4 linked regions of the Saccharomyces cerevisiae S288C genome follow. The protein of the gene in region 3 binds, or shares a complex with, the protein of the main gene of each other region. Each region holds a gene or a part of one and is shown on either strand. Other genes may lie near its edges. The genes, in order: MRPL24, YML6, MHR1 and MRP20.

The links.
Region 1: MHR1 (region 3) and MRPL24 share a complex: the UniProt entries of both Saccharomyces cerevisiae proteins name them as parts of the mitochondrial large ribosomal subunit.
Region 2: MHR1 (region 3) and YML6 share a complex: the UniProt entries of both Saccharomyces cerevisiae proteins name them as parts of the mitochondrial large ribosomal subunit.
Region 4: MHR1 (region 3) and MRP20 share a complex: the UniProt entries of both Saccharomyces cerevisiae proteins name them as parts of the mitochondrial large ribosomal subunit.

Annotation. Positions count from the first base shown.
Region 1 is NC_001145.3:648,273-653,511, forward strand, and holds MRPL24 (mitochondrial 54S ribosomal protein bL28m MRPL24), read left to right. Parts: upstream 1-1,763; coding exon 1,764-2,540; downstream 2,541-5,239. Other genes in the region: GYL1 (Gyl1p), read left to right, coding at 1-1,008; 60S ribosomal protein eL36 RPL36A, read left to right, coding at 2,873-2,888, 3,352-3,638; CMC4 (Cmc4p), read right to left, coding at 4,322-4,503, 4,576-4,615. UniProt on the Saccharomyces cerevisiae protein: Component of the mitochondrial ribosome (mitoribosome), a dedicated translation machinery responsible for the synthesis of mitochondrial genome-encoded proteins, including at least some of the essential transmembrane subunits of the mitochondrial respiratory chain.
Region 2 is NC_001145.3:221,707-227,269, reverse strand, and holds YML6 (mitochondrial 54S ribosomal protein uL4m YML6), read left to right. Parts: upstream 1-1,904; coding exon 1,905-1,931; intron 1,932-2,030; coding exon 2,031-2,864; downstream 2,865-5,563. Other genes in the region: Smc5-Smc6 complex subunit NSE5, read left to right, coding at 1-276; 40S ribosomal protein eS17 RPS17A, read right to left, coding at 573-980, 1,379-1,381; 40S ribosomal protein uS13 RPS18B, read left to right, coding at 3,442-3,488, 3,890-4,283; YOX1 (Yox1p), read right to left, coding at 4,707-5,563. UniProt on the Saccharomyces cerevisiae protein: Component of the mitochondrial ribosome (mitoribosome), a dedicated translation machinery responsible for the synthesis of mitochondrial genome-encoded proteins, including at least some of the essential transmembrane subunits of the mitochondrial respiratory chain.
Region 3 is NC_001136.10:1,052,475-1,057,661, forward strand, and holds MHR1 (mitochondrial 54S ribosomal protein mL67 MHR1), read left to right. Parts: upstream 1-2,737; coding exon 2,738-3,418; downstream 3,419-5,187. Other genes in the region: HDA2 (Hda2p), read right to left, coding at 149-2,173; SUR2 (sphingosine hydroxylase), read left to right, coding at 4,077-5,126. UniProt on the Saccharomyces cerevisiae protein: Component of the mitochondrial ribosome (mitoribosome), a dedicated translation machinery responsible for the synthesis of mitochondrial genome-encoded proteins, including at least some of the essential transmembrane subunits of the mitochondrial respiratory chain.
Region 4 is NC_001136.10:1,275,123-1,280,160, forward strand, and holds MRP20 (mitochondrial 54S ribosomal protein uL23m MRP20), read left to right. Parts: upstream 1-2,523; coding exon 2,524-3,315; downstream 3,316-5,038. Other genes in the region: DIT1 (Dit1p), read left to right, coding at 1-1,090; DNA-directed RNA polymerase II subunit RPB7, read right to left, coding at 1,532-2,047; ATP-binding cassette multidrug transporter PDR15, read left to right, coding at 4,088-5,038. UniProt on the Saccharomyces cerevisiae protein: Component of the mitochondrial ribosome (mitoribosome), a dedicated translation machinery responsible for the synthesis of mitochondrial genome-encoded proteins, including at least some of the essential transmembrane subunits of the mitochondrial respiratory chain.

The sequences.
Region 1 (5,239 bases), on a different chromosome or scaffold from region 3:
TGCGAGGAGGAGGCAAATGCATTTGGTCTACTTGTACGCCTAATGAAAGTTTACGGTTTAAGACTCTTGTTCTTACCAAGTGCTTCTGAGATCGATATTCTTTGCTATAAATTTGATAGACTTGTAGAAGAATTTTATCCTGAAATTCACAACCACATGGTTGAAAAAGGCGTCCGTTCTTCCATGTTTTTGCCCGGTTTCTTCACGACACTGTTTCAAAAGAAACTTCCCACTGAAATTCAACCACGTATCGGTGATATGGTATTTTTAGAAGGTATTGACTCTATTATGAGAATTTTAGCCACACTTTTATCTAATTCCCGAGACCATCTGTTAAAAATGGGTTTTGATGATATGCTGGAGCTATTGAAATCAGGTCTGTTAGATGCTTATATTAAGCAGAATGATGGTACACGCGGTGACACTCTTCTCTCAAATGAATGTATGGATAAATTACTACAAGACTCTATGATGAAAGTAGCAATAACCCCAAAGACTATGAAGAAATATTCTTCTGAATATGAGGAAATTCACAGATTGGACAATGAAAAAGAAGTGCAATATAAGTCTATCACGGAAAAAAATTTACATTTACAAAAGCATGTTCGTAAATTAGAAAACGACTACACATCTTTAAATAGAGAGCATGTGACAATTGCGAACGAGTTAGTGAAAAATCGGCTTAATATCGAGTCTGTATTAAATGAAAATAATGGTTACAAACTTCAAATTTTAGATTTGAAGAAAAAGTTGGATTCAGAAAAAAAGAAGCAAGTTTTAGGTGTATATGTGCCCAATGATTTAAAGAAAGATTTGGAAGAGACAATGAAAAAGAATACCCAAGTAATGGACGAAAATTTGAAATTGCAGGATAGGATTTCAGAACTAGAAAGGCTTATTGAAGAAATAAAAACTGCAAACAAAAATGGTACGTTATTCGAATATTCTAATTCTAAAAATAATCCTTTGGGAGCCGGCTGGTCAGGATTTAAAAAGGTTTTTAAATAGTTAAACTGTGTATATCAGCTACTGCTCCCCTTGAATGATACATGACTAAATATAATGATAAATTTATTTCTTGATTTTTGATTATTTCATATTTTGTTGACATTTGAGAGCTTCAATTGTATAAAGTTGCAAGATAATATATGAGGTTAGGGAAGCCGGATAAAGAAAATAGAGTACTTTAAAACTGTTCATGGACTAAGAATTCAGTGACGATGAAGTAGTAAAGGAGAGTGTTTAGGATATAAATAAGACCGAGAAATTGTTAGTAAGCATTACTTCTAGCAGAAATAATGAACCACAATCGTGACAATATATACTCGAGTTAGCAGTTAACAGTAACCCTTTCCATACCATTCTAAACTTTGCAACAGTAAATATCTTGGCGTTTAACGTTTTATTTTATTCTACGTTTCTCAAATATCGGCTGTACTCATGTGGCACATCATGAAAAGAGCCTTCATATCAAGAATTCAAGAATTTTAATTACATCGTGACAACGGTTTCCTAAACTTTTAGTAAAAACAATTAAATGTGCAATTTTGTTGATTATACTGTGGACAAATTGAGCTTAGTACGTTTCCTTCTTCTCTTTCTGCAATTATATTTAATTAAATAATCTCGTATTCTCGCATCCGGGCACGCTTTGTGAAATTCATTTGAGAAACCAAAAACAGCTGATCAGCTAGAGCTATTAGAAGTTAGTGCCCAGGGGTATAGAAAAATCAGTTTAAGGAAGAAAAAGCTCACAGAAGAATATGCAAAAAATTTTCAGACCATTCCAATTAACGAGAGGCTTTACCTCTTCCGTAAAAAACTTCAGGCAATGGAGACTGATTGAAACAAGGAAGATTGCCAAACAACCGAACTACCAAGTTGGTGATGCTAAACCTTTACATATGCCAAAAGAAAGAAAGAAATTTCCAGATTACAAGTATGGGGAATCTAATATCTTCAAACAGAGTAACAAAGGTCTATATGGTGGATCTTTCGTTCAGTTTGGTAACAATATTTCTGAAAGTAAAGCCAAAACGAGGAAGAAGTGGTTGCCAAATGTTGTCAAAAAAGGTCTCTGGAGTGAGACTCTGAACAGAAAAATCAGTATCAAAATGACCGCTAAAGTTTTAAAAACAATCAGTAAAGAAGGAGGGATTGACAACTATTTAACAAAGGAAAAATCTGCAAGAATAAAAGAATTAGGGCCGACCGGATGGAAGCTTCGTTATAGGGTTTTAAAAAGAAAAGATGAAATAGAGAATCCCCCACATAAGGATGCACCTATCATAGAAATGGCTGGTGGTAAAAAGGCCAAAATTTACTATGATGAAATAGTAAACGGCTCACCAAGAAAAATATCAGTTGGAAGAAGAAGATTGATGTCATTTTTATATCCTTTAGAGAAATTGGAATATAGGTCAGTAGGGAAGGACCTGAACTACAAAAAATTTGTCGAGTTATTTGCCGACGTTCCAGTCAAGGATATCCTAGCTAGATTAGAGGATCATAAATTCGACTTATCCACCATCACCGTATAAAAGGAAGAAATAAAGAAGATAATTGCCATTCCGAAAATATCGTTGGTTTTCCCCTGTATATAAAAAAGCATATCTGTTTGTACATATGTAGGTATGCACACATTCTGAACATTATTGATGCGTATATGCTTGCTACATTAATTGGCAATTCATTTTTTAGACTGTTTTACACCCGTACATTTCACAGTTTTTTTTTGAAGTTAAATTCCAACTGAATGGAAGCCTCCGCTCCTATGAAATTTATTTGAAATCAGAGATTTCAGGATGTTGAACAGTATAGTACTGATTTACAAGTATCAAAGAAACAAGAAAGACAGCAAACACAATAAGAAATGACCGTTAAGACAGGTATGTGAGACATAAACAAGGAACTGAACGGGTTATGACGATTTTCGAACTTATAAAGGGGTTTACCCCAAATACGAGAAGAACATGAGTGCATTGAAAACTTAAAAGGAAACAAAAACAAGAATATTATATAATTTTGAGTGATTAATGACCAATGGAAATAGCCAGAGGAAAAATACCATTTAATATGCATACACAGGCTTATCTCTTCACTCCTATCTAAAAAACTATTGTGTTTGAAGATGAGGTCCATTTTACAAAAAGAATAGTATTGCGAAAACGCCTTCAAATGGAACATTTTAGTAGTTGCACCATTGTAAGAATTGCCATGGAAAACAATCACAAAAAGATGCTATACAAAGCCGTACATTATACGTCACTTCCCGCCGACACATATACACGTGTATATGTATGCCTATTTCACATGTTACTAACTGAAGACAACCTGTGTCCTTATATTTAGGAATTGCTATTGGTTTAAACAAAGGTAAGAAGGTCACTAGCATGACCCCAGCTCCAAAAATCTCTTACAAGAAAGGTGCTGCTTCCAACAGAACCAAGTTCGTAAGATCTTTGGTCAGAGAAATCGCTGGTTTGTCTCCATACGAAAGAAGATTGATTGATCTAATAAGAAACTCTGGTGAAAAGAGAGCTAGAAAGGTCGCCAAGAAGAGATTGGGTTCTTTCACCAGAGCCAAGGCTAAGGTCGAAGAAATGAACAACATCATTGCTGCTTCTCGTCGTCACTAAGTTTCTAAAAACTGATTTTTGTAATATATATATAGATATCATATTTTCTTTTTAACTTAGGAAAAAATAACACCAAAAAAAAAACCACCAATACTTTCACACATGAGAGGGCCTAGAGTAAAGTACCACTAGCCATGCAAAAAGCCCATGTACTGAGCTGATAGTCGTTACCAACCCTACATTTTTTTTCTGAAGCAATATAAGTGTTACCCGAAAAGTATGAATATTATTTTTTCTTCGTACCGTTATATCTTTTTCTGGTATATAAAGCGGTGAGTTTAGAAGAAGTTCCTGTGGTGCAAGAATCTTTATTGGTATTTAAAAAATCTTTTCTTTTCCTTTTTTTGGTTTTTTGAAAAAGGGTAATAATGTCTTTTATAATAGACACCCAGAGTCACGATTCGTCTTGGTTTTAGAGATTCTGTTTCGACAGTTTTTTTAGGCGGTGGACGTATATAGTTTACTTAATCGTTTACTATACGGTGGAGTACTAATACTATTTCACTGTCGTGCTCGCGGTTGATCTTAGATAAATATATTTCTTTTTCATAAAGAAAGTGAGTGGATCTTCCCTGGAAGTACGAATAATGTACTTATGATTAGATTCTCTTCACGCACATACCTTTTTTTTTTTTTCAATTGCTAGTTCATACATACGTAGAAAGAAGGGCCAATTGGAAGCCTCAACTGTCCCCTGGTGTAAGCTTTCGCTGTTTCATCTTCAACTCAAGAAGCGAAGGTAGCGGACAGCAGGGTGACCGTGAATCTTTTCCATTGTCATTGTAAAATTTTGAGCAGCAGATGTACAGCTGATCTATAACTTTAGCGCATTTAGCATCATCGTACTGATGTGATAGAAGGCAATCTAAAATTAATGTGAAAAAACGTTAGTGAAAAGAAAAAAACGATCGAATCTTTTGAAGTTAATATTACAAACCTTGGATGGCGCAGGCCTCCTTCTGGCATGGATTAGACATATTTACCTCTTATTTGAACAAATCTCAACAACTAAAAAAACGCTCAATATCTTGGAAAAAAAGAACAGTAATATTCTGTCTCTCCACACCCTCTTCTGAACTCTCATATACACCCCATGGGTGAAAAGTAATATCCGTAAAAGTCTCGCTAACGGATGACGTTAACAACGCACGCCCGCTCCTTGCGAAATTTATTGTGGGGACGTCGTTCACGTGCAAAAGTCGCCAAATATTAGCGACGGGCAACATCGGAAAAACTCTGCGCCCGCGATTCCGATTGAGATGTGTAATTTGTAGTATTGAACGTGACAGGAAACAAAAAATATCAAAACGCTAGCAAGGTTTAAGGGGAGGGGTGAAGAACGAACGATAGGATACTGCACAAATCAGCAATTAAGAAACAATATACAAAAACCCCCAAAGTGGTCATGTTAAGGAGGGCATTTTTCCGCATGGAAACGAAACGTGGGCATGACGTGGAAGCGATGATCCGAGCGCTTCTGCTACTGTGGTGACCACCGTACCAAAGGAGGGGTAATAAGACCCTGTGCCCTTTGCCAGCATACGTGTTACCCCCCTCAAAAAGAGCTGGCTGTTCGAGCTAGCTGCTCTTTCTGTTGCCAT
Region 2 (5,563 bases), on a different chromosome or scaffold from region 3:
CAATGTAGCCAAGCTTCGTATGAAGAAGCCGTTTTGAATATTGAAAAGTGTGACGTCTGCCTACTGGTCCTACTACGATATCTTCTGCATTTGATCGGGACCGAAGCGATATTAGACGCTAAGGAACAGTTAGAAATGTTACATGCGATTGAGAAAAATGATTCAGGGAGGCGACAGTGGGCCAAGGCGCTTAACTTAGGAAATGATCCGCCTTTATTGTATCCCATAGTCTCCCAAATGTTTGGCGTTCATGATAAAAGTGTAATTATAGAATAAGTAACTAATTTTTCTATTTTTTCTGGATAAGTATAATGAGTAAGAAAGGAAACAGAGTCAATGTTAAAAAATATAAATAATTCCAAGTCAAAGATGATAGCCCTTTGGTATCAAAGCATAAACATTGCGCGCAATGTATGTATGGCCAAGGAGCTACATAAAACGCTTCGCTCTTAATTAGTAAATATAATAATATTTTTTTATTTAATTATACATTAAAGAATAAACAAAAATTAAAAAAGAAAAGGCAAATATTTTGAATAGTAAATTATTTTAAATAGCTTTCTAATTTAATTTTAAACTCTCTTTCTGTAACGTCTGTCTCTTTGGGCAGAAACGTTGATAACAGATAATGGCAACTTCAAACCCAAAGATTTAACCAAGTCAGAAGTTTGGTTGTCAACGTTCAAAACACCGTTAGAACGAGACAAGTCCAAAGCAGAGACTTCTGGGACGTATTGGTCCTTTCTTTCTCTTTCTTCTTCTTGCAATTTGAAAGAGATACCTCTAACTGGACCCTTTTGGATTCTCTTCATCAAATGGGTGGTGTAACCAGCAATCTTGTTTCTCAATCTCTTGGATTGGATAGTGGCGATTTCATCACAAAGTCTCTTGTTGGTTTGGAAATCCAAAGTCAACTTTGGATAGTAACGTTCAATCAAAGCCTTAGAAGCACGCTTGACGGTCTTGGTTCTAACTCTACCCTATTAAAATGACGAAAAGCAATACAAAATAAAAAGTTTGTAAATGCAATTCAACTTGTTAGTATACTGATATCAAAAACACATTATAATGTGTAGAGGCAGTTCATGGCGCCATATTATCCCTTGTTCAACTATGCAAAAAGAAGATCCACAAGAGACTGAATCTCCGGTGATACTGCTATAGGCATTTTAACTCCCAATTTTTTGGAAAGCCACTGCAACTATAGCCAAAACATGAGTATCATTTCAATCACACCACTTTTTCGGTATCGCAGTTCCATATCGTCTGAAAATATCGTCATATGTTTTCTTTAACTTATTTATTGTATGACTTTATTGCGCATGTCGACTCAATATTACGTGTCCTTAAAAGCCTCCTTTAGTCCATATTAACATACCATTTTGTTATTGCTAGTCTCGAGATCTTGACTTTTCTTAGAATTAAGTCGATTAATGCTTGATTAATACCTAATTTCATACATATTACGCTAATATGCCAGTAAAAGCGATCACGACGATAGCTACAGCATGAAAGATTGGCTTAGGAAGCACCATTCCGTTGCCCACAGCAAGCCGGCTGAGCCCAGGCGCTGTTGCACGTACCCAACAAACCTCGTCTCTGCCATTGGTCTATTGTCCTCCTGGACAGGCCGCCTCCTGTGGCAAAGCAGATTCCCAAACGGGGCCAAAAAATTAAGTAGAACTCCCAGTTTTTTGGAAAATAAAAAATAGAATGTACGGATGTAATGCACGGATGTTAAACCGGAAAAAAGGTTACTGGGTCACCCTGGGATACCAAGAATGAGTCTCAAAAAGTTCGAAATAGAAAAGTATAATACAGAGGTTCCATTAATAATGGGGGAGATACATTCAAAGGACGCCAATGCGAATAATCTTTCGTTCAACTAGGGTGAAATAATAATAATGACGATAAAAAGAAATTTGGTGAAAGTACGTATCAGAGGATCGTCCCTCGCTCTTTTTCCATTTGGTTGTCGATTTTCTGAAGATGAATCCGTATACTAACATTACAACCATTTTATGCAATAGACTTTACAATCTATACGCTACCAAGCTACCACTGCCACCGCACATGCAGAATCCACGTTAAACCCTCTGCCAAACGCAGCCATTCCTCCCAAATACGCCTTAGTTACCGTTCGCTCCTTTCCATCATTAGAACCATTGACATTTGTGCCGGTCCCCACATCAACTGTAGCTGCTCCATTAAGGCGTGATATACTATGGAGAGCCGTAGTTTATGAAAACGATAATAGAAGAGTAGGCGCCTCAAATCCTCCCGGGAGAAGTGAAAACGGGTTTTCCAGACGTAAATTGATGCCCCAAAAGGGTTCTGGTAGGGCAAGAGTCGGGGATGCTAACTCTCCAACAAGACATAATGGTGGTAGGGCATTGGCAAGAACTGCACCAAACGACTATACTACAGAGCTACCATCCAAGGTTTATTCCATGGCTTTCAACAACGCTTTGAGCCACCAATATAAAAGTGGAAAGTTGTTTGTTATTGGTGGTGAAAAGGTCGACTTAATATCTCCCACACCAGAACTCGACTTGAACAGGCTGGATCTTGTGAATACAAACACAGTTGAGGGCAAAGAGATTTTTGAGGGCGAAGTCATCTTCAGAAAATTCTTGGAGGAATTTCAACTTAAAGGTAAGAGATTACTTTTCATTACAGACAAGACTAGGGAAGGGCTGATAAAGAGTTCTGATCCATACAAACAAAAAGTAGATGTTATACAGAAAGAACTTGTTGAGGTAAATGACATACTAAGAGCCCAAGCTGTTTTTATCGAATTGGAAGCTCTTGAATATCTAGCAATGGCCCATCAGAAAGAAATCCTTCACTCCGTGTCTAACTGATTTTCATATGTACACATACAAGTGACCCCTTCTTCTACCCCATCCAGTTATTATTCCATCTACATATTTAAAAAATAATCTGTAAATAATAAGCCCATGAAATATCAATCTCACAATGAAAGAATTGTATAATTCAGAATGATTTGACGTAAAAGCAAGTCTCATTCAAGAAACTGTAAAATCCGTACACACTACTGAATTTTACATCCATACATTTTTTTGAAATTTCATGTTTTTTTGAAAAATTGGAAAAGGGCTAAATTATCCGTCGGGGTGTCCTCCTAGCTCGGCTCAACCTAGGCAAATGCGTTTACTGGGGCCATCCAAGCTCATCCTTCCAGAGATTCGCCTTTCAGAGGCAAAGAACTCGTCTCCGCAGGCCTCTTGTTCCGGGAGGAGGAGAATTCTTGCGCGGAAACTGGTTGATGCCTGGGCTATGGTAATTCTGACACCTTTGCTATCCTAACTGGAAAAGGTCCTTAGTAATAACAATATCAGGTACTTTAACATTGTTAAAGATATACTATTAGTGAAAAACCGATCTTACGAAAAGCCAATAGAGCAGAAAGTGGTAAAGATGTCTTTAGTTGTACAAGAACAAGGTTCCTTCCAACACATTTTACGGTATGTTTTACGAGTACAGTGCAGATATGTTGAGAGAGTTTCACATTACATGGGATAATAGCTTAATATTGCGATTGAAAATATGTGAGTGCACTCCGATGGAATAATAAACGTCACGGGTTACCAAATACGAGGCCGAATTAACTCTACGCTACTATAAAAATTATCACTAGATTTTAAAGTAATACACAGTTTATTGGAAAATACAATATATGACTCAATGCGAATTTAAAAATTTCAGTCAATACAGCTTGACAAATTCATATTTATCGTCCCTCCATGTTCGTACGCCATTCCAAAATGATGCGCCATGTTGAAAATTTCTCGAAGAACCTAGCAGTGGTGTGAAATAAATTACTAACAATAAGATGTACAATTTTTTGTGCGCCCATTACAATCAGTTTGTTGAACACCAATGTCGATGGTAACATTAAAATTGTTTACGCTTTGACCACTATTAAGGGTGTTGGTCGTCGTTACTCCAACTTGGTCTGTAAGAAGGCTGATGTTGATTTGCACAAGAGAGCTGGTGAATTGACCCAAGAAGAATTGGAAAGAATTGTCCAAATCATGCAAAACCCAACTCATTACAAGATCCCAGCCTGGTTCTTAAACCGTCAAAACGACATTACTGATGGTAAGGACTACCACACTTTGGCTAACAACGTCGAATCCAAGTTGAGAGATGACTTGGAAAGATTAAAGAAGATCAGAGCCCACCGTGGTATTAGACACTTCTGGGGTTTACGTGTTAGAGGTCAACACACCAAGACCACTGGTAGAAGAAGAGCTTAAATCAATTAAGGAAATTATCAGTAATAATTGTACGCTATTTTCGTTTTTATTATCTTTATTTTCTTTTTTTATTCTTCAAAGGAGAAAGTACTACACGTGTTTTCAGACCAATGTGTGTTTAATCAACTTTTTATTCTATGTATAACATATAAGCAAAAAAAGATATAATATAATTAAGTTTTATACGGTAAACATCGTTAACATCACTCAACCGGGGTGAGAAAGTACCATCGATGGAACTGCACTTTATTTTGACTACATGTAAAGTTAAAAGAGGTGTTATAGAAGTCTTTTAAAAAACGTAAGGTAATTAGAAAACAATTGTATATTTTATGATATATGCTAGGACTGAAGTGAACAATGATATGTATGAATGCCGTATAGGGAAATGAATTTGCGAATAAATAATGACTAGAGATTAGATCAACCACGGAAAGCGTTCGGATCAAGATCCTTCAACGGTTGTTGATCGACGATCTTGAATCCGAATTTTCTCTTCCTTTTAGGGGAGCCGGAGGGATTGCTTACCGGACGCTTGGCTTTGGATGGAGAATGATCTATGCTATTGATCAATTTATTTACTCTGCTGTTGGGAGACGTTTTCACGGGAGTCAACGTCTTCTTTTGTGGGTTTAGATGGAATGTTAAAGCCTGGCTTCTCTTTATGCTTGGTGTGGATGAGCGCCTATTTAGGGAATGATGAGGCCTTGGCGGCGTATTTTCCAGCGGTGAAGAAGAGGAAGAACGAGAACATGAGCTTCCATCACGAAGTATGTCCGCCTTGACTCTGGATGCTAGTGGCGTAGCATGAACGTCCAGAGGCGGAGATGGTGGAGATACCGTTTGTATTATAGTGGTTGACTTCGAAGTGGCGATTCTCTGCCTTTTAACCGCTTGTCTTTTATTCTGGAACCATATTTGAACGGCTTTTTCAGTCATATGGCAAGATTCAGCTAACTCAATTCGTTTCTCCTTCGATGGAGCAGGACATTTTTCAAATTCAGCCTGAAGAATAGATAGTTCCTGGGACGAGGTTCTTCTTCTCTTTCGGCGTGCTAGTGGAGCGTTGTCGATCTTAGGCTCCTTCTTAGGGAAGGTCTCCTGCGAGTGTGTGATGAAAGCAAATGCACGTCTTTTTTCCTTAGAGGCAGAGGGGATAATAATCGACTTCGCTGCAGAGAGTGGTGTTAATATGTCGTTTTTCTTTGAAGAAACCGAATAATCTCTCTTTTTGCTATTTAGGGGAGTCAGTAGAAGGTTTTCGTGTGATTCATCAACTG
Region 3 (5,187 bases):
ACTGTGTAGATTTAAATATTTGGCCAATCTCTATGTACTTTCTCTTTTTTTCCAGTGTCAAATACTTGTAGAAACAGTCTAATTCATTAAGAAAGTATATAAAATCTCTCTATATTATACAGGCTACTTCTTTTAGGAAACGTCACATTCATGTGTAATTAGGGGTATTGGATCTTGTTGATCTAAACCGTGTACCATTTGCGGCAGCTTTTTCCACCTGGACGTTGTTTTTGTTTTTTAAGTCGTACTGTCGGTTCATTAAGGTTATGTAATTCTTTAAGAATTTGTTTCTTGCTTTAAGCGACTGAAAATCATTCTGTAAACGTTCCAGCTCCTTCTTCAAGCTTTCTGTGGAAAATTTAGTCAGTGGACCATTAACTTCGTTTTCTAAAGACTTCATTGATTCTTGCAAAATTTTCAATGTTTGCGCGGACTCTGCGGCTTTTGAAGATTCTATTTGATATTTGGAACGTAGTTCATCATTGAGCTTTGATTTTTCCGCATTTGCTTGTTGGAGTTCCTTTAACTTATTAAAAAGAGTCGCATTTTTGTCTATGTATTCCTTCAACTTGTCTGCTAAGGCAGATCCCTCTTCCAGATGATTTTCTGATGAAATAGTATTCGAGGGCAATTTGTTGAAATTCTCTAGTTCCTGCCTATTTTTCAGTAAGTGATTTATTTTATTTTGTAGCTTGGTAGATTCTGTCATCGCATGCTTCAACCTTTTTTCAGAGTCATTAATGGATTTTTCCACTTCTTGTTTTTTCTTGAATGTAAGACCAACAGAATTCTTTATTTCGTCCAACTGGTTCTGCCGTTGAGTTTCGTTTAATCGTTTCTCGTACAGTGGAACAGTGCCTTTGGCATACTCGTCCTGTATATCTCGCAATCTTATGACGGCTCTATGCATTAACTCTGTTTGGTAGGTTTTGATATCCAATGGTCCGTCCCAAAGGGGCAATTCTGTAGACGAATATTGCAATTTTGTTAATTGAGGCTGCCAAAACCCAGAATCGCTCGAATCTTTGGAGGCCTCATCTAACGTTATCAAATCCAAAACCGGTAAAATGTTATTGCAATCTTTCCCCTCTAAACAACACTTTACCAATTTAATATAATCAATCTCACAGTTGTTCACCGGAGCATTCCTTGCTTGCAAAAAATATAGTAAGGAGGATTTGATCTCTTCATATTCTTGGCTATCATCGACATGACCGTTATTGCTCAAATGCGACGATTTAACACTTGAATTCTTGATTTCAGAATCTAACAAGTAATGATCTGGAGAATTTTGTACTAATAGCTTTATTATCGGAATATCCTTATTGGCATTATTCCTCAGTACCTGCAAAGCGGGCAATTCAACTTCCAACATTGGATCAAAACTAATTATCATATCTATATCATAGTTAGCCAATAGGTATTGATCGTGTTTGAGATGTTTGGTAGTGGCTAAAAACAGCCAGTCATCCGTATTTATTTTTCTTTTTTTCAGGTTTCTTTTCACTGAGTAATCATAGTCGTCCTTAGAATAACCTGTATAAGAGGTCGAATTGGAATTAGAGCTTGTGCTGCTTACAGAATTTGGTGTTCCATCTTTATTTATTGTGGAATCGACCGTAGGTAGATTAGGGAATTTGTGTTTCTCATTATAAAGAGATGTACCGGAAAGTCTCTTGGTTCTGAATTTCTTGCCTAATATTAAACCTTCTAGCAAATCTAATTCCTTTATGCTGTGTGCGATGATGGCACATTTTATAACTTCGTTTGGTGAGCCCTCTCTGTCTCTAAAGCATATCGAATTAATGAGCTGGTTGAGAACTTGAAACTTGTGGCTCCCAGCAATAGAGCTTTCCGTGGGCTCCATTCTCAAAAGCTGTCGAGGCATATAATGGTCCACTAGAAGGGAAGGATGATTGGCTATTGCTCTTATGTTTGAATCAAAGATATAGGTTAATTGCCTTTGTGATAGCGTTGGATACGGATGTGTTTCAGGGCCAGCAGGTAAGCCGGAAGGCTTGTTCACTGCATCTGCCTGTGGTTCTCCTATTATGCTTGCTTTGAATGACTTGGCGTGCAGGGATATCAAAATTTCTGATAAATCCTTTTGAAATTGGGTTAGCGTTACAGGTAAGTAATAGACTTTTAGTTTCTTAGAATTTTTCCTACTCATGTCGATAGTATTGTATCTATTTTCTTTATTTTTCACACACTAATGAAGCCAAATACTTTTACTACTACTTAAACGCCTTCAATCGTTCTCAATTCTGTCTTTTTAAAAAAAAAAATTTTTTGTTACCTCTCCTTTCTCGATGTTCTACTAGTTGTGGTTACTCTTCTGTGCCGCAATTATGTTATTTTAGTAGGACTGTATTTTTTTTTTTTCTTTTGTTGTCGCTTTTCTTATATATCTATATAACTATTTATTTGGGCTGTAGAGAACTTTCTCAGGAAATATAAACTAGGAGACATTCGTGTAAGCAATGAACCATATACGCCACGGTTAAATTTCAGACGTGCATAAAGTTGATGATTCCTGTCAAGTTAACGACTCATTTTGTACGGTAGACGGGAAAAATACATTTCCTACAATATTCTCTTTTCCGATATTCAGATACTAAAGGAAAAAGTGAAAGTAAGGCTATATGATGAAATGTAGAGGAAACGGAAAGAGGAGATCCTGTGAGGAATAAATAGAGAAACAGCGACGGAAAAATCGATATTTCAGGGCAAAAGCATGAAGGTAAACCATTCAATTTCAAGATTCCGCCCCGCTTCATGGTTCGAAAAGACAAAGATAATCCCACCCCAGGTATACATCTTTAGGAACCTAGAGTATGGACAAGTACTATATTCTCAATTTCCCAACTTTTCGCAAACACAGGTGGATAAGCTGTTTGTGAGACCAAACTGGAGCAACAGAAAGCCATCATTGAGAAGGGACATCTGGAAATGTATGTGTGTAGTGAACTTGCAAAACTATAAGCAGAGTGTCCATCTATACCAGAACCTCTGCCGGTTGAGATACCTCCGTGATGTGGCACAGCGTAAGGAGAGTGACAAGCTAAGAAAAAAGGACTCTAACGGGCACGTCTGGTATAGCGGACAGTATAGACCTACATATTGTCAAGAGGCAGTGGCAGACTTGCGGGAGTCCTTGTTGAAGGTGTTTGAGAATGCCACACCAGCAGAAAAGCAGACAGTACCCGCCAAAAAACCGTCCATATACTGGGAGGACCCATGGAGGATGGGTGACAAGGACAAACATTGGAATTACGATGTGTTCAATGCTCTGGGGCTGGAACACAAGCTTATTCAGCGTGTGGGGAACATTGCGAGGGAAGAAAGCGTTATTCTGAAGGAACTAGCTAAGCTCGAATCACATCCTACAGAGCAGACGGAAGTGTCTTCCCAGTAGAACGCTTCGTCATTAGATATACAAATGCAGGTAGAAAAAAAAACATATATAAGCTCATGTAAATAGTGCAATGCAAACCTTTCTGCCAAATCCCGTTCCACGGAAAAACACGTGCTGTGCGGGTATCCGCAAAAAGAAGATAGGTCAAAACAGGAATACACAGGGCTAGTCTTTATTACTGCCGCTGCTGCTGCTGCCGCTGCTACTGCTGCTGTTGTGTGACTTGAAACGCGTTTTATCCTCCTCACCTTATCGTCATTTCTCTATCTTTTTCACTTGCACAGCTTAATAAGCTTTTCGACCTCCTGTTTCCTATTGTCTTATTCCCTCACCCCGCGTCCTTCTTCGGGCAGTCGCGCTTTTCTCCGGCTTCTGCGGTTTTTCTTAGTCTTTCCGCACCAATTTTCACAGAAAAATTTCTTTTTGGGTTACTAAAAATTTCTTGTTTGCTATTGTCTTGATTTATTTCACTCTTTCTTCATCCTGCTGCGCTGTTGTTGCCGCATTTTTCGTTTCGTGTTTTGGGATTATAAAAGAAGTAACGATTTACATATCTTCTATTCCCTTGCATTTACTCCGGGTCTTCGTCTTTACTGTTTGGTCTGGGTATTTCTAACATTCTAGTCCGAAGAGGGTGTATACGAAAAGAAAATATACGATGAACGTAACATCGAATGCAACTGCAGCCGGTTCCTTTCCACTAGCATTTGGTCTCAAGACCTCATTTGGGTTTATGCACTATGCCAAGGCCCCTGCCATTAATTTACGCCCCAAGGAATCCTTGCTGCCGGAAATGAGTGATGGTGTGCTGGCCTTGGTTGCGCCGGTTGTTGCCTACTGGGCGTTGTCTGGTATATTCCATGTAATAGACACTTTCCATCTGGCTGAGAAGTACAGAATTCATCCGAGCGAAGAGGTTGCCAAGAGGAACAAGGCGTCGAGAATGCATGTTTTCCTTGAAGTGATTCTACAACATATCATACAGACCATTGTTGGCCTTATCTTTATGCACTTCGAGCCGATCTACATGACTGGGTTTGAAGAAAATGCCATGTGGAAGCTTCGTGCAGACCTTCCTCGGATTATTCCAGATGCCGCTATTTATTACGGCTATATGTACGGAATGTCCGCTTTGAAGATCTTTGCAGGCTTTTTATTCGTTGATACATGGCAATACTTTTTGCATAGATTGATGCATATGAATAAGACCTTATACAAATGGTTCCACTCTGTTCATCATGAACTATACGTGCCATATGCTTACGGTGCTCTTTTCAACAATCCTGTTGAGGGCTTCTTGTTAGATACTTTGGGAACCGGTATTGCCATGACGTTAACTCATTTGACTCACAGAGAGCAAATCATTCTTTTTACCTTTGCCACCATGAAGACTGTCGATGACCACTGTGGGTATGCTTTGCCACTTGACCCATTCCAATGGCTTTTCCCTAATAACGCTGTCTATCACGATATCCACCACCAGCAATTTGGTATCAAGACGAACTTTGCTCAACCATTTTTCACTTTCTGGGACAATTTGTTCCAAACTAACTTTAAAGGGTTTGAAGAATATCAAAAGAAGCAAAGACGTGTCACCATCGACAAGTACAAAGAGTTTTTGCAAGAGAGAGAATTGGAAAAGAAGGAGAAACTCAAAAACTTCAAAGCTATGAATGCTGCTGAAAATGAAGTAAAGAAAGAGAAATAACCCTTTTGCATACCTCCCGTTCAATTGCTGGGTAAAGGCAATGTCTCCGACTTCCCACGTT
Region 4 (5,038 bases), 220 kb from region 3:
ATTTGCAGATTTTTTTGAGAAAAATTTGAAAAACACAATAGTTAATGATCAATGGAATTTTGGTGGCCGTGATTATTTTATTGAACGTTCAAGATATTTTACCGATCGATATTTGAGAATTGAATGCATCTTGCCAGCGTTTCCATGTAAGTCATCTAATGAGCAAAAAGTGTACGGTTCCGTTCCTGACAAAGGCGAAGAACTCGCTTTGAAAAGATTAATAAAAGCCACACAAGACCTTGTCAAGATATATCCACCGGGTATGAAAATTTGGATAGTTAGTGATGGCCATGTTTTCTCCGATTGTATTGGGGTCGATGATGACGTCGTGAGTACTTACACGACCAAATTGCACGAACTGTATAAAAGAGTGGCTATACCTGGTGTTGACGCCATTGGCTTTTGTGGATTGAACGATTTATTTTTTAGCGGTGCAGCTAGTAAAGTTTTCGATCCAAAGTGGGTTAGTGATGTTGAAGTTGCACACTACACAGGAACTCAAATCTGTCCTAAGTCCGATTTGTCGAGACAGATTTTGATGAAAGGCTGTGATACAGATGCAGGTCGTTTGAGAAAGCAGATTGCAATAGAAGGACATCCAAGATTGCATCTGTATAGGGGCTTTTCACGTTTTATGATGGAAGATTTATCTCTACTGGAACATTTCCAAAGTTATTCCAGAAAAAAATTCAAGAAAATCATTTCAATGATCGCTTTTAACATGATTAAGAGAAATGACGCGTATTCGAACTTAGTGGAATTGATATTCCCTCATCATTTGAGAATTTCTATTCATGCGCACACTAACAGCGGGCCCAAATTTGGTATAAAAGTAATCTCCAACGAACAGTGTTCTATTGTTAGTTCGTTAGAAGACCTTGATGAACCCAAATTTGAAGATTTTTTACATATTCCCACACCTTGGCATAATTGTGTCGTGAAGGTTGAGGATGAAAAGGAGAAATACTTTTTGACAAAATCAAAAGTAGTCAAGGAGGCTCTCGAAAAGGGTATGTATGATGGTGTATGGAAAGATACTCGTTTCGATATTGGAGAAGGAGGACATTTCGTTATCAAGAAAATCTCTTAATAAAGTAAGAGCGCTACATTGGTCTACCTTTTTGTTCTTTTACTTAAACATTAGTTAGTTCGTTTTCTTTTTCTCATTTTTTTATGTTTCCCCCCCAAAGTTCTGATTTTATAATATTTTATTTCACACAATTCCATTTAACAGAGGGGGAATAGATTCTTTAGCTTAGAAAATTAGTGATCAATATATATTTGCCTTTCTTTTCATCTTTTCAGTGATATTAATGGTTTCGAGACACTGCAATGGCCCTAGTTGTCTAAGAGGATAGATGTTACTGTCAAAGATGATATTTTGAATTTCAATTGACGTAATTAATGATACTATTAATAATACAGAGCGTATATGAAGTATTGCAAATAACATGCACAGTTCTTTTGGGATGAGAATGATAATGAAAGGCGAAGGCGGGCGTTCAGAAAAGCGTTGCGGAGTAACAAGTGATTAAATAGCACCCAAATAATCTTCTTTGATACTACCGATTGCGTGAATAGAACTCACTTGACTGATACAACCTTCAATTTTAACTCTAATTCTACTTTTTATGGTGATGACATCCTCGGAACTTTGGTATGATGGTGGGTTTGAACCCGCATTAAAGGTTAAATCTTGAGGCATCAGATGCTTTGTCACAAATACTTTCATTGGACCTACTTGCACTTCGAACCCGTGCTGAGAACATGAAACGACTGTGCCGTCCACTACTTCCCCTTTAAATGGTTTGAAAACTACAGCTCTATATTTCACGTTGAACTCGGCGGACCCATCTGTGGGCAATATTCTCCCACGTTGAATATCTATATTATCATAGTCTAGGACACAAAGAATATATCCGAATTTACCCGTACACGAACCTTCAACCTCTTCCAATAGTTTTGTCTTTAGATATTGCTTCATTCGAGGACCGAAAAAGGACGGATGAAGGGTAATATTAAGCGAAAGGTCTTTAATAAAAAACATTCTCAGAAATTGAGTTATTTATACAGTGGTTGAAATGTGAATCTATTCTTGGACTTTCCCACTGTCTAATCGCAAAGGAGAATGGTGTAGGAGGAGAAACGGAAAAAGAAAGGCTATGATATTCTGGGAGAAGAGATAGGTGGACAGACCTGATCGACCCAATGTTAGAGAATAAATCGACGAAGTGAGCTTGTCTACGTTATTGGCATTTTCACTGGGATATAGGAATACCGCATTTATTTTCCTTGTATTTTTCAAAATAGCCGTTGAAACCCACAGAAGATCACTTAATACGTAATCGCGTTATACGAATTTTCTCGATGAAAAAGGGAAAACGATGGTATTAGAACTTGAAATGTACATACATTTCTTGTGGAGAACGTAACGCTACTAACAAATAATGTGCTTTGATTAGCAGGCTCCAACAGAAAAAAAAATAAAATAAAAATAAAAAGTACGCAACACCAACACAGAATATGCCACGATTGACGGTTGGAACGAAGAATATGTTGTATCCTTTGCAAAAAACACTTGCAGTAGGAAGTTGCAAGCCAGAGCAGGTTCCAATAAGATCACTAGCCTCAGTGGTGGAGAGTTCCTCCAAAATACTCGACAAAAGCGGCAGCGATCGCGAAGTAGATATAAACGTAAGCGAGAAGATTTATAAGTGGACAAAGGCGGGCATAGAGCAGGGAAAGGAGCATTTCAAAGTTGGAGGTAACAAAGTCTACTTTCCCAAGGCCAGGATCATCCTCTTGAGGCCCAACGCGAAGCACACACCGTATCAAGCAAAATTCATCGTCCCAAAATCGTTCAACAAACTGGATCTCAGAGACTATCTTTATCATATCTACGGCTTAAGAGCAATGAACATTACGACGCAGCTGCTTCATGGGAAGTTTAACCGTATGAACCTACAGACGACGCGGTTTAGAGAACCGCAGATCAAGAAAATGACTATCGAGATGGAAGAACCCTTCATTTGGCCCGAAGAACCCCGTCCGGACGAAAACTCCTTCTGGGACAGCACCACGCCTGACAACATGGAAAAGTACCGTGAAGAAAGACTTAACTGCTTGGGCTCAGACGCCAACAAACCCGGCACAGCATTCGACGGAGTCGTGGGGCCTTACGAACGGGTGGCCCAGCCTTTTATACCTCGCTTCTTAAAACGAGAGATAGACAATAAGCGAGAGCGTCACGCCGCCGAACTGCAGCGCGCAGATAAACTAATTGCCCTGAACAGGTACATAGAAGATCTACATTAGAAGGTTTCCCATTCCACCCCTTCGTTAACCCACACGCAAATACCCAGATAAGCATCTTGCACCCCTCACACTTGTATATACGGAGCAAACTACATAATCTCTAAACAGAAAAAAAAAAAAAGAAAGAAAATTAAGAACATTACTTTTTCCGAGCAACAAACGCAAAAATATATGAAGTGGCTGTAGAACATGCCTTACGGAAGAAAAGAATGATGATGGCATCCCCTTCCCCTGCCCTGGAAGGTGGCCTGTATTTCTGTTCTTTTTTTATTTTTGTTCGCGCAAAGAGCAAGAACATTGGTTGCTTTACTTATTATTTTCAGGGTCGCTTCCGCGGGATGCCATGCACGGATGCCTGCGGAGACAGTGGCGCGGAGCCGTCCGCATGCTCGTTCCGCGGAGAGTCTCGAGCGGGTCCGCGAGGGGCGGATCTGCAACGCACGGTGCCGGGGTTAAGGTATGGCACGATGGTAAGACGATGAGGGAAAAGAATACTGCTACTGCTGTGCGAGACTTTGGTAGTAGGGATCGGAAAGGGAGCATGTACATCTGAGGAATATATAAGCAGGAGCTCTCTACCTGGACCAAATTGCCTTCTTATGTTGCTGTAAAGAGATTTGCTAGTCTTGTTGTAGATACGTCATATGCAGTATTCAAGTATACTACTGTTAAGAACATCACATCACTAATACTATTAGCGTATAACAGTTACTATACGAATATATAAACACACACACACACAAGCAAACACACTTATAATTATCAAAAACCTATGTCATCAGATATCAGAGACGTAGAGGAACGAAATTCGCGGAGCTCGAGCTCAAGCTCGAGCTCGAACTCTGCCGCCCAATCCATTGGACAGCATCCATACCGCGGTTTCGACAGCGAAGCCGCGGAAAGGGTGCATGAGTTGGCTAGAACACTCACATCGCAGAGTTTACTATACACTGCTAACTCAAACAATAGCTCTTCCAGCAACCATAATGCGCACAATGCGGACTCGAGATCCGTATTTTCTACGGACATGGAAGGTGTGAACCCGGTGTTCACTAACCCGGACACCCCGGGATACAATCCCAAATTGGACCCTAACAGTGATCAATTCTCCAGTACGGCGTGGGTACAGAACATGGCAAATATTTGTACTTCGGACCCGGATTTCTATAAACCATACTCACTCGGTTGTGTATGGAAGAATCTAAGCGCCTCCGGAGACTCCGCCGATGTGTCATACCAGTCAACTTTCGCTAACATCGTACCAAAGCTGCTTACGAAAGGGCTCAGATTACTGAAGCCCAGTAAAGAAGAGGACACTTTTCAGATCCTGAAACCCATGGATGGTTGTCTTAATCCCGGTGAACTGTTGGTTGTTCTTGGGAGACCAGGGTCAGGTTGTACTACGCTGCTAAAATCCATATCTTCTAATTCGCACGGGTTCAAGATCGCAAAAGACTCCATTGTCTCTTACAACGGTTTGTCAAGCTCGGATATCAGGAAACATTACCGTGGTGAAGTCGTTTACAATGCGGAATCAGATATTCATTTACCGCATCTTACCGTGTACCAGACGCTTTTCACCGTGGCAAGGATGAAAACGCCGCAAAATCGTATCAAGGGTGTTGATAGAGAAGCGTACGCCAATCACGTGACAGAAGTTGCAATGGCCACATATGGTCTTTCGCATACAAGGGACACCAAGGTCGGAAACGATCTAGTCAGA